Linked DNA regions of Saccharomyces cerevisiae S288C. Changing the gene in region 2 together with the main gene of any one other region gives a genetic interaction. Each region holds a gene or a part of one and is shown on either strand. Other genes may lie near its edges.

Evidence for each region. A genetic interaction does not mean that the proteins touch.
Region 1: mutations in SKS1 (region 2) and APS1 together harm fitness more than expected from each alone (negative genetic interaction), as found in Saccharomyces cerevisiae (3 studies listed by BioGRID).
Region 3: mutations in SKS1 (region 2) and MBA1 together harm fitness more than expected from each alone (negative genetic interaction), as found in Saccharomyces cerevisiae (3 studies listed by BioGRID).

Annotation. Positions count from the first base shown.
Region 1 is NC_001144.5:500,079-502,597, forward strand, and holds APS1 (Aps1p), read right to left. Parts: upstream 972-2,519; coding exon 501-971; downstream 1-500. Other genes in the region: UPS2 (Ups2p), read right to left, coding at 1-192; DPH5 (diphthine synthase), read right to left, coding at 1,182-2,084; TAG1 (Tag1p), read left to right, coding at 2,343-2,519. UniProt on the Saccharomyces cerevisiae protein: Component of the adapter complexes which link clathrin to receptors in coated vesicles. Clathrin-associated protein complexes are believed to interact with the cytoplasmic tails of membrane proteins, leading to their selection and concentration.
Region 2 is NC_001148.4:499,305-504,044, reverse strand, and holds SKS1 (putative serine/threonine protein kinase SKS1), read left to right. Parts: upstream 1-1,861; coding exon 1,862-3,370; downstream 3,371-4,740. Other genes in the region: RMI1 (Rmi1p), read right to left, coding at 1-528; SMA1 (Sma1p), read right to left, coding at 3,643-4,380. UniProt on the Saccharomyces cerevisiae protein: May have a role in glucose regulation.
Region 3 is NC_001134.8:598,623-601,722, forward strand, and holds MBA1 (Mba1p), read right to left. Parts: upstream 1,338-3,100; coding exon 501-1,337; downstream 1-500. Other genes in the region: YBR184W (uncharacterized protein), read left to right, coding at 1-312; PCH2 (Pch2p), read left to right, coding at 1,931-3,100. UniProt on the Saccharomyces cerevisiae protein: Mitochondrial inner membrane-associated mitoribosome receptor that spatially aligns the mitoribosome exit tunnel with the membrane insertion machinery and allows cotranslational protein membrane insertion.

The DNA of each region.
Region 1 (2,519 bases), on a different chromosome or scaffold from region 2:
TTTGGGAACACCTTGTTTTACAGTAATCAACCGTTCAGTAACTAAGACCTTACCTTGATCCTTCAATTCTCTTCTTAAAACGTCCACTGCGATGACATGTGTAGATATTTCATTTGGGTATTTTTTCCAGTTAGCGGCGGTTACCTGGTCCCATGGATAGTTGAAATCGTAACTGTTTTGAAACAATTTCATTATCGTCTTTTAATTATTCTCGATTATTTTATCTTAGTCTGAAATCTATTCTTTCGTCCTATTGATGCTTAAATTCAAAAATATGTACATCACTTCGCATGATAATTTTATCGCCTATATATTCTTTACATTTTTCACATTCATTCCTTTTTACCGCTCTGACCAATCAACGTTGTGCCGATGCTCGCAAAAGATATTTTTGTCCGGGCAACGGCTTTTGCGACAGACGGTAATAATAGTAGGGCCCCTTGCCCCCTTCTCATCTTATTCTTCTCCTTTCTTCTTCATTCCATTGTTTTTTAGTGGTCCTAACTCAATACCCTTTCAAGATTATCGTTGCTCTCCATGGTGTCCATCACGGTCACATGGTGCAGTACTTCCTTCCTACTGCTCTCTGCGATGGAGCCATCGCACATAATCATCTCATTCAAGATATCGTAGACCTTACTGAAGTTAAATATAATGTCTAGCTCACAAACATTGCCGAAATATGTGTCCATTGTTTCGACAAACCGATGGATAATTTCCAAGGTCAGCAGTTCATTGTCAACATCGGGCGTCATCCCAACAATAAAATATAGACTAGCATATCGCTTGTATACTACTTTGTGGTCATTATACTCGATGATGTTACACATTTTGGGTTTTCTTGCTAATATCGTAGGTGTCAAGTCTTTCACAATTTTTGCCTTTTCACCAGCGGACATTGCCGTGTACCATTTCTTTAATCTGATTTTTCCTTGCCTAGAAACCAGCAACAAATATTTTAATTGCGTCATCTTGTGTACCTGTGTATCCGTATATAATCTCCTCCAGGATCGCTCTTGTTCTTGGCTGAAATTGTTGTTATAACTTCTTGTTCATTCATTGCCATTTTTACACATATCGTTAGGGCCCGATTCGTTTGGGATCGAATTGTTACCCGACTGAAAGGATCTATTCAATATACATTATAAAAAAGAAACTACACATGAGCGTGTGCATTACCTTTACTCGTCGCTGTCGTCTTCTGTGGGTGGGACCCATGCCGCAGGTTTGAAGTACTCTTGGTCATTTGCCACATCTTTCCCAAACTTTTCTTTGTCGTCGGCAAACTCTAGCAGGTATTCCAGCTCCAATTCATGACATTGTCTGCCGAGGATGACAAGCGAATGAAGTGGCTCTCCTGAATCGTAATTGGCTAACTCACTTATGGTACCAGACTTAAAGCTTTGGGAGCTCGAGCCTAATCTACTAATTGCGACTGCTGGAGTATCAGGAGTGTATGCCTTTGTACCTCTTTTCTCTTCAATTTCTAATAATTGTTCACAACATTGAGCGATAGACATGTATCTTGGTGGTTCGTAGATTAGTCTGCCACGGGCCATATTTTCAATGCTTTGTTCCTTAACTTTGATGTCCAATAACACTAAAGTATGAAGGCCAATTTTTCTATTTTCCCAGATCTTGTCGTACCATGAGTCTGGTCTCCAATTATCGGTAAAGAAAACCATGGAAACGGTTTGACCGAAATTGTATAGTTGTAGGCCACATGCCCCAACTGCATTCATAACGGACGCATTATGAATAATTTCGACGGGAATTGCCTCACGTTTAGCTCTGAGAACTAAATCTGTGTGTGTGGTGGCACCAAATGGATCGCCCACGACCAAGAAAGCAACGTCTTCCTTATCGGCGTTATTTAGGATCTGCTTAGAACCAGTCTCAACTAATTCCCTATCAGCCAAGATGATCTCTTTACCATAGTAAGATTCTAACTCTTCTTGGCTTGCAGCCATTAGGATACTGGTATAGTGTTCTAGATAAACTCTAGAACATTTCTTAATAGCTTCCAAACCACGAACGGTAATGTCTGATTTGTACGAGAGACCAAGTCCGATCAAATAAAGCATTTTTCTCACTGTCCTTTATTCACTCTATATCCTGTTCGTTTTTACTTTGCTAACAACCACCAGAAAAAAATTTCATCCCATCGCTTAGTTAACTTTTTTTTAGAATCGCATGCATGGGGTTATTTAATTTTCTCTAAAGGTAAATGCGAAGCCCAGAATCAAAAAGATGAACTGTCTAGGGGAAGAAGACACAAGATCCTCCTGTTTTTGGGATTTTTTATTGCTTAGTGTAGTGCATTACTCCTTGAACCTTTTAAGATGCACACTAACTCACCCTTACGAGCGGATAACCAAGATCTAGAAACTCAACCACTGTTGAGACCAAACACTGAAGAAAGCCAACTCCTCAATGATGAAGTGAGAATCAACGTTGCAAATGAGACCCTTATTAAATCTCGTTGGCGGAGTATAAAGTGCTTAATTATATATCTGCTA
Region 2 (4,740 bases):
TTTAGAACCCAGCATGCAAGAGCTCCAAGATATTGGAGTCGAGTTGATAGCAAAAAAAACGTCGCCCGACTTACTTTGTAGTGTCAATTTAAACACTGCTTTATTCTTGGCGGCACTGCTATTATTGTTGCTATTATTTTCCTTGGCGCAGTTGTTATCCGCCACATTCCCGTCATCTTCCATGTCCACTTGAGTGATGACCTCGTACTTCTTAGCGCCATTTCCTTGCGCGCCTGATCGTAGTCTATCCACTTTCTGTTTTTTCGGATCCAGCTTGGTTTTTATATCATCGATCTGTGTTAGCTTGGATTTGGTGATATTCTCTACCATCAACACCTGGAACAACAGTTCTCTGTCTACAATAACAAGTTTTTTATCTAAGATAAGATTCGAAGCAGTACCAGCCAACCAAGGTTCATTTTGGTAAGCTCTGAAAACAATCTGTTCTCTCGACCCCAAGGTGGCGGAATACGCTGGTGGTGTAATGTCATCTGTGATATCCTGTGATAAGATAGATGAAAAAGACATTCCATCCACTCGGTAGTATGTATGCTCTGCAGTATTTTGGCCTTCTTCTCAGTACTCCCTTTCTGTAAAGATTGTATGATTGGTTTATCTTTTTCCTTTTTCCTTTTCTTTTTTTTTTTTTTTTTTTTTTTCTTTTTTCTTAATAATTAGTTTCTCTTCACGCTACATGCTTTCTTGGCCCGTCCTGAGTGCAGTATCATAATTAATTTAGTAAATAAAGAAATAAACGAAGATGGACCCTCAGAGCAAACAGCCAAGACCGCTTGCATTGCAAAGTAATCTATTATTGTGCGCTGGGCCGCGGATGCCGCGGATAATAAATAGCCGGACCTGTCAAGAGGACGATAGCGGATGCGCTGGGAAGAGCTGTACTCTATGTACACATATGTATTGGTTGGAGCATATGTGCCTACATAATATGTCTAGTTGGCTCAAGCCCGTCAACTAATTAGTCTGAATGTATGGAGGCTTCTGCTGGCTCTAGCGATGTCGTCGTATTTACGTCACTGTAGTTCTCGACTCCCCGGAAAAACCTGTTCGCGTGAGCGGAACAACTTTCCATTGAGGCTTAGTGGAGGTATTTCCGGAGAGGGCATTCATCCCGGATTTCCTATTAGAATGGTGCAGTACGCCGCCCTCGCGCTCTCTACATGCTGTTTTAGCGCGCGTGATATGGACATAGATGCACCACGCGGTGTTTCTTTTCTAGGCATCAAGTGGCTTGCAGCCAATCAAACACGAGGAATGTGGGATGGAAGTACAATCTCCTCACCGCACACCCACGTTTTCCGGGACATTTCTCGGACAGACTCTTTTTTTCTTTTTTTTTTTTTTTTTGCTTCCCACGAAATCGGAACTTATCTATCAGCCGAAGAAAGCGCGTTGGACAGATACTTGAGCAGATTTTGTGGGGAGAGAGAATCTTGGGACAAATGCAAAAAAGAAATGGTCGGAACAAAAGGGCAGTATACAGGGCCGGCAGTACCTTCTGTTCCTACCACAAACCTTAACGATATCGGTGACCCTACTAAAACTGTGCAATAGATATTCCGGACCCACATCATTGCGGTGTTTTCTGAGTCCGCACTCACGGGACGAAGACGAAGAAAGACAAGAGCCTACAAATGACTATAGCGTTTTCTTTTTCCTTTTTATGCTCTTGCTACCTTTTTCGCATGAGAGGACATTCTTAAGGCGTATATTCTTATATATTATACAAAATATATTTAGTAAATTGTTAAATTTACTTATTGACTTAAATCGCCCTAGCGGAAACAAAACTCTTTAAAAGAAAACATCAAATAAGAACACAGACAAGAAATTTTGTGTACAAATGCTGTCAGACTGCTTGCTGAACAATTTCAGAATAACGGCTCAAATAGGGTCGGGTGCGTATGGACTAGTGTTCCATGTGGTGGATATACTGACGAGCCGTGAATATGCAGTGAAAACGGTCTTCAAATCCTCCTCGATGGATGAGTTTTATAATAAGAACGGTTTGAACAACAACTCTCAAGTGGCGCGAACCACTCTTCTGCAAACGCAACTGTATCATTTTTTCAAAAGTTTCCAAAAAAAATTGTTCTTACCTTCCGTTGATCTAGACTCGATATTACAGTTGACTGAGAATGAACTAAATAGGCTACCACACTACAGGGAGATTGCCTTCCAACTAAGAGTGCAGTCTCACGGCAATATCGTGAAGATTCACCAAGTTTTAGAATCTTCTATTGCCACTTTTATAGTGATGGATTATTACGACAGGGACCTTTTCACCTCGATAGTTGACGATAAGCATTTTGTAAATCATGGTATTTTGATTAAGAAAGTTTTTCTGCAGCTTTGCTCCGCATTAGATCACTGTCATCGTCTCGGTATATATCATTGTGATATCAAACCTGAAAATGTCCTACTGGATCGCAATGACAACGCTTATCTTTGCGATTTCGGGCTTTCCACTAAATCTAAATATCTAGCTCCAAATGTGTGCGTTGGCAGTTCATATTATATGGCTCCAGAAAGAATATTGTATTGTTTGAATACCACCACCAACGGCATACACGTCGACGAATGCTGTTCGAGCCTCCCTACGGATACAGGAGATATATGGTCTCTAGGCATCATCCTAATTAATTTAACTTGCATAAGAAACCCATGGTTAAAAGCTCACCAGAAGGAGGATAACACATTTCAACATTTTGCTAACGATAATAATGTCCTGAAGAAAATCCTTCCTATATCAGATGAGCTGTTCACAGTGTTGACGAAAATTCTACAACTAAATCCATACACAAGAATAGACATGAAAACTTTGATGTCCGAAGTTTCCTCTCTTACTTCTTTCACCAGGGAAGGGCCCTTGTCTCAAGTTCCAATCCTATCGAGCGAAGTTTACATGACGCATATTATAAGGAATGAAAACCTATTTTTGAGCGATTTATCACATTTTTCTGCAGACCAAGAACAACAACAACAACAGCAACAACAACAACAGCAAGTCCAAGAACAAGAACAGGAACAAAAACAAGAACAAATACAAAACCAGGAACAAGCACAACAGCAGCAAGAAGAGGAAGATGCTGAACCGGAGAGTGATATTCCATCAACGTATAATAGTGACGGAAGTATGGAAAAGTATGAATACACTAACAACCACAATAATAGTACCTTTTTAACTTCCTCAATGGACAGTACACCTTACCAATCTGATATCGATGACGTTAGTGCTTCCAAAGATTGCAAATTCCAACAAGATACATTAAGAAATAGGCTATTATGCTTACAAATGAATTTTTCTACTTTAACAGACGGTCCAAACGAGAAATGGTTACCAGATTATTGAGCAGGTCTCACCTTTATACTCACTGTATTATCTTATGTTCTAATTCGGTAATAGCTTCACCTTTTCTTTTTATCTTTGAGGTTTGTTTTTTTTCTAGTATCCTACTAGGATGGCTATAAGCAATGGCTGGAACGATTTTCATACTTTTTTTACGAACTTACGACTTTTCAGTGTCTTCTTTGATCAAAAGGAGATCACTATGGATATATATGTCCTACATAACTAATTACAATAATGATAGAATGACAGAACTTAGTCACTTTTTTTGTTTCTCAGCCCGGCGACGGCGCATTTGAATGGGTGGAAATCTTCGCTGATACCAGGTTGACAGTCTTATGATACGATTTTTTCGTCCTTTGCTTCCCCCGCAATAACCTTGCCTTTCCTCTATTTGCCGCGTTAGTAAAAGACCTTTCACAGCATCTGTAAAGTTCCTTTAATCGCATTGCAAAATACCAGGGCCTAAATGGAACTTCCTCAAACTGTCTTTCCAACCTTTCTAAGGGGTACATAAACTTTTGATATTGGATTTCCATCGATTCCCAAGGACTTCTCTTTATTGGACATTGCTTGCCTGTGACTTTTATAGGCGGCTTATAATATAGCACAAGGTCGGGCAAGTAACAAAATACAGCACTTCCTCCATTCTTATCAGGGTAGTAAGAGACTGAATCCCGAATCTCTTTTTCATTAATAACAATTTTGTTTTCTTCGATTTTCATGTTCTTGGTGGAAGAAAAAGTTTCCAACCAAGAATTGAGTTTATGTAATAATGATTCTGGGACAGGTGGCAATAAGGTAACACCCTCTCTTTTTTTCAATTCCATTTTATGATTTGCCGTTTCAGTTCTAGAAGTTTTCAAAGCAGAGTTTCGTTTGAATATTTTACCAATGGATTTTGAAAATCGTTTACCAGCACTAAATTCATGCTTGGATCCCGAATGTTGGAACAGGTGCTTAACACTCACAATTTCGGGATATTTATTAGGACCATCATTAGTACATGCCATTTCCTCTTTCCTCGCCACCAGATTTTAAGGCAGTTGATGTTTGCTTCCAAGGGAGAAAAGGAACTTATAACGGTTAAAATTAATAGAGCCTGAAGAGAATGAAGGCAGCCAAGACATTGATTAACATCCTACAATTGTAGAGCAGTCAAACGAGTTAATACCACAAATGTCAGTAATTAGTGGAACTTGTGCAAGTATCACCCGGCCAGCTTGCCAAGGCGGAAAAGTAAGTCAAAAGGCACACCTCAGCGTTTGAGTACCTGAAAAACGATGAATCGCAAATAAAACTTTAAATTATGCCTGTTATACATAAAGCCATTTATATATTTATGTATTTTATGAAAAAGATCATGAGAAAAT
Region 3 (3,100 bases), on a different chromosome or scaffold from region 2:
GAAGAGGTTGTTCTTAAATGTAGGAAGTGTTCTAATAATTCATTGGCATTAAAAGAAATCAGCACCTATCGTTTGGATAGCGCAGAAGGTTTTGAGAAGTCTCAGCCTCTAAAAGATGAAGCAAAGCTCAGTGATATGAATTATGTACAAGGTAGTATCAGCTATAACAGGACTATTCTTACCGGCTTATGGAAATTATTTCACAGATTGTGCTGCAAAGATCGTTATAGGAAAACCAATCTGTCAGAAACATTGTTCTATGACGATTCAACGGAAAGATGGGTTAGAATGGGAGAGTTAATGCACTATTGAAAGGGAGATGCTTCAATAACTTTTTTCATGAAAAACTATTTAATAAATTTAATATATATACTTCAGAATGAAAAACAAATGAATAGTTTTTACTGAATATGTAAGTGGTATGTGGAATAAGAAACTCAAATGAAGCAATGGCTATTTACAGATGTTCCAAAACTTTTCGCATTTATATACATATTGCCTTAGCTTGGAGGTAAACGATATATATCACCGTTAACTTTCATTCTGTGTATGGCAACTTTAGCATCGTCCTCGTAGCTTTTCGGTAATTTATCATTTGGTTTACTTTCAAACAAAGATCCCATTAAAATCATATCATTAGTTGTAGCATCACACAAAAAGGCAATATAGTCTACAACGTCACGGTCTAACGTCTCAGTCTTCTTAGTTTGCTGATTGACTTTAATTAGTCTTTGCTTCGTATCAAATTTGTAAACCAACTGTAAATGCTCTAACGGCATTCCGGGAATCATGATTGGTTGCACTGAGACTAGTTTAGGAACTGCATTAAACTTTATCAACTGCCAGTCCAGTGTTGCATTACCTGGAAGTTGACGGGACCTAGCCTCGAGAGCTTCCTGAACCCATAATGAAACTAACCCTTTGATGTCCGACAAATTTTTATGAGCAAATGACGTGTTTACATTGATATACGTCTCTATGGCTTTGTTTTTCCAGAGTAAAAAAGAAGGTTTAATGCCTGATTGAAAACGAAACAATGCGACTTGAACAGAGTTCAAACCAAACGTGTAAAGTCTTCTGATCAATGCATTTGCAACAATGAGAGGATGAGCAAATACATTTGGAAGGTTCTTGTAAGCCGAGGGGATAAATATTTCGGCAGCAACACCCAGGTGCCGAGGATTAAAATCTTGCTGCTTACTTTTATCTTTCTTCTTTGTAGTTTCACTTTCTTTATTCAAAATTAACCTCGAAGTTGAAAATAATCGCCGCTTGTTAAATGATATCAACAAGGATCTTGGAGGGAAGAAAAGGCATGTAGATCTTAATACACTCATCTCATAAGCTTAGCTGAATGGATAGGCTTGCTTTCTGATGGAAATTTGCCTTGCTTTTCCAACTATTCCATTACTCAGGTTTTATTTTTTTATTTTGTAATATGGGGAGAAGGCCGGCAGAATATTTACGGACAAATGAATAAATTGGATTGGATTGACTAGTGGAACGTGTAAAGATCGCGATACTCCGTACCAATCACCGAAAGATTGCCCGTAACCGAAATGACTCCATTCTCTGAATTTTTTGTGAAACCAATATCTGAGACTCTTCCTTCATCTTATCAACGTATTGTTCAGTCAATTAAGTAAGAAGTATATTTGAGCGCAGCCTTAATCATATATAGCACCAGTTATATGTTTGCCCCTCTCTTGAGTTGAAAAACACATAATACATAGTACTGTACTTTTCTCTTTTTCATCGTTGGCGAAAATATAATCTTTCTCAAAAATATATATATATGTATATATATCCTTAGATTTGCCGTTGACAATAAGGTGGGCGGCAAATCTACGAAATGCGAGGCGGTTAAAAGAGAGTGACAACATTTTCATAAAAATATTCTGATCTCAAACTGAAGACATAAAATAAGGATATGAGCTACATAGTTGACCTACAAGTGCGAGGATCATCTCTGAGGGTTATCAAATGTATGTTTAGAGAGGATGAGCAAATTTCTTCTCTACATTCTGGTTCTGACTCGAAACAAAACAGCAACAAAAAGCTGGGAGAATTTTTGAATCTGTTAAAAGCAGTGGTCAAGAGGAAGTTGGAAAGTTTCCCAAAAGACCGTTTAAAGACTTCGATTATAACTGGCCAAGAATTAATGAGAGAGGGGCAAGGAAGTATTGAAATTAAGGATCCACCAACGGAGGCGCAACAACATTTGATTAGAAGCCTAGCAAAAGTTTTATTACACCAGTTTTCAAGCATAAATGGCAAAGTTAACACAGTAAATGAAGGACAAGATAATTTGTTTCTATCCTTATTCGTTAAAAAAATTTCTATAGAGCAACAGTCCACATCACACGTCTCTATTAAATTGAACTTTCATGAGAAAATAAATTTGGGTCAGCACATAGATTCTATTTTAGATTCAGAGGAGACCAACGAGTCGGACACTTATCACATGGGATCTGTTGACGAGTTCATTATATATCCCTTTTGCTGTCTGGAAGAGCAAGATGAGCTGAAAAATGGCAGCATACTGTCCACAGAGTTCGACAAGATTGACTTAGAACTAGACGAGGATGATGGTTTTGAGGGAGAAACTTTAAACAATTGTATCAATTCGGTGGGAAATTTTGACATTCCACTAAGTAAGCAAACACTAAACTTAGTAAATATATCATATCTTCCAGGCACAACTTTCGAGGGCCAATGGGAATCGTTGTATTTTGGTAACAATATTAAAGAAAGGTTATATAGCTACGCAACTATATCTCTCAAGATAGCAAGATTCAAACAAACTGGAGACTCCAATCAAGAAGACATTACAACGCTAATCACAAATAATAAATTACTCCTTGTCCATGGTCCTCCGGGAACAGGTAAAACAACGTTATGCAAAGCACTTTGCCAAAAATTATCTGTGAGGCGGGAATTTTCAGACGGTTCCGATACCATTGATACTAATTATAAGGGGATAATAATAGAATTGTCTTGTGCACGCATCTTTTCTAAATGGTTTGGAGAATCGTCAAAAAATATATCAATAGTATTCAAAGACATTGAGGAGCTTTTAAAGGTCAATGAGGGACGAGGG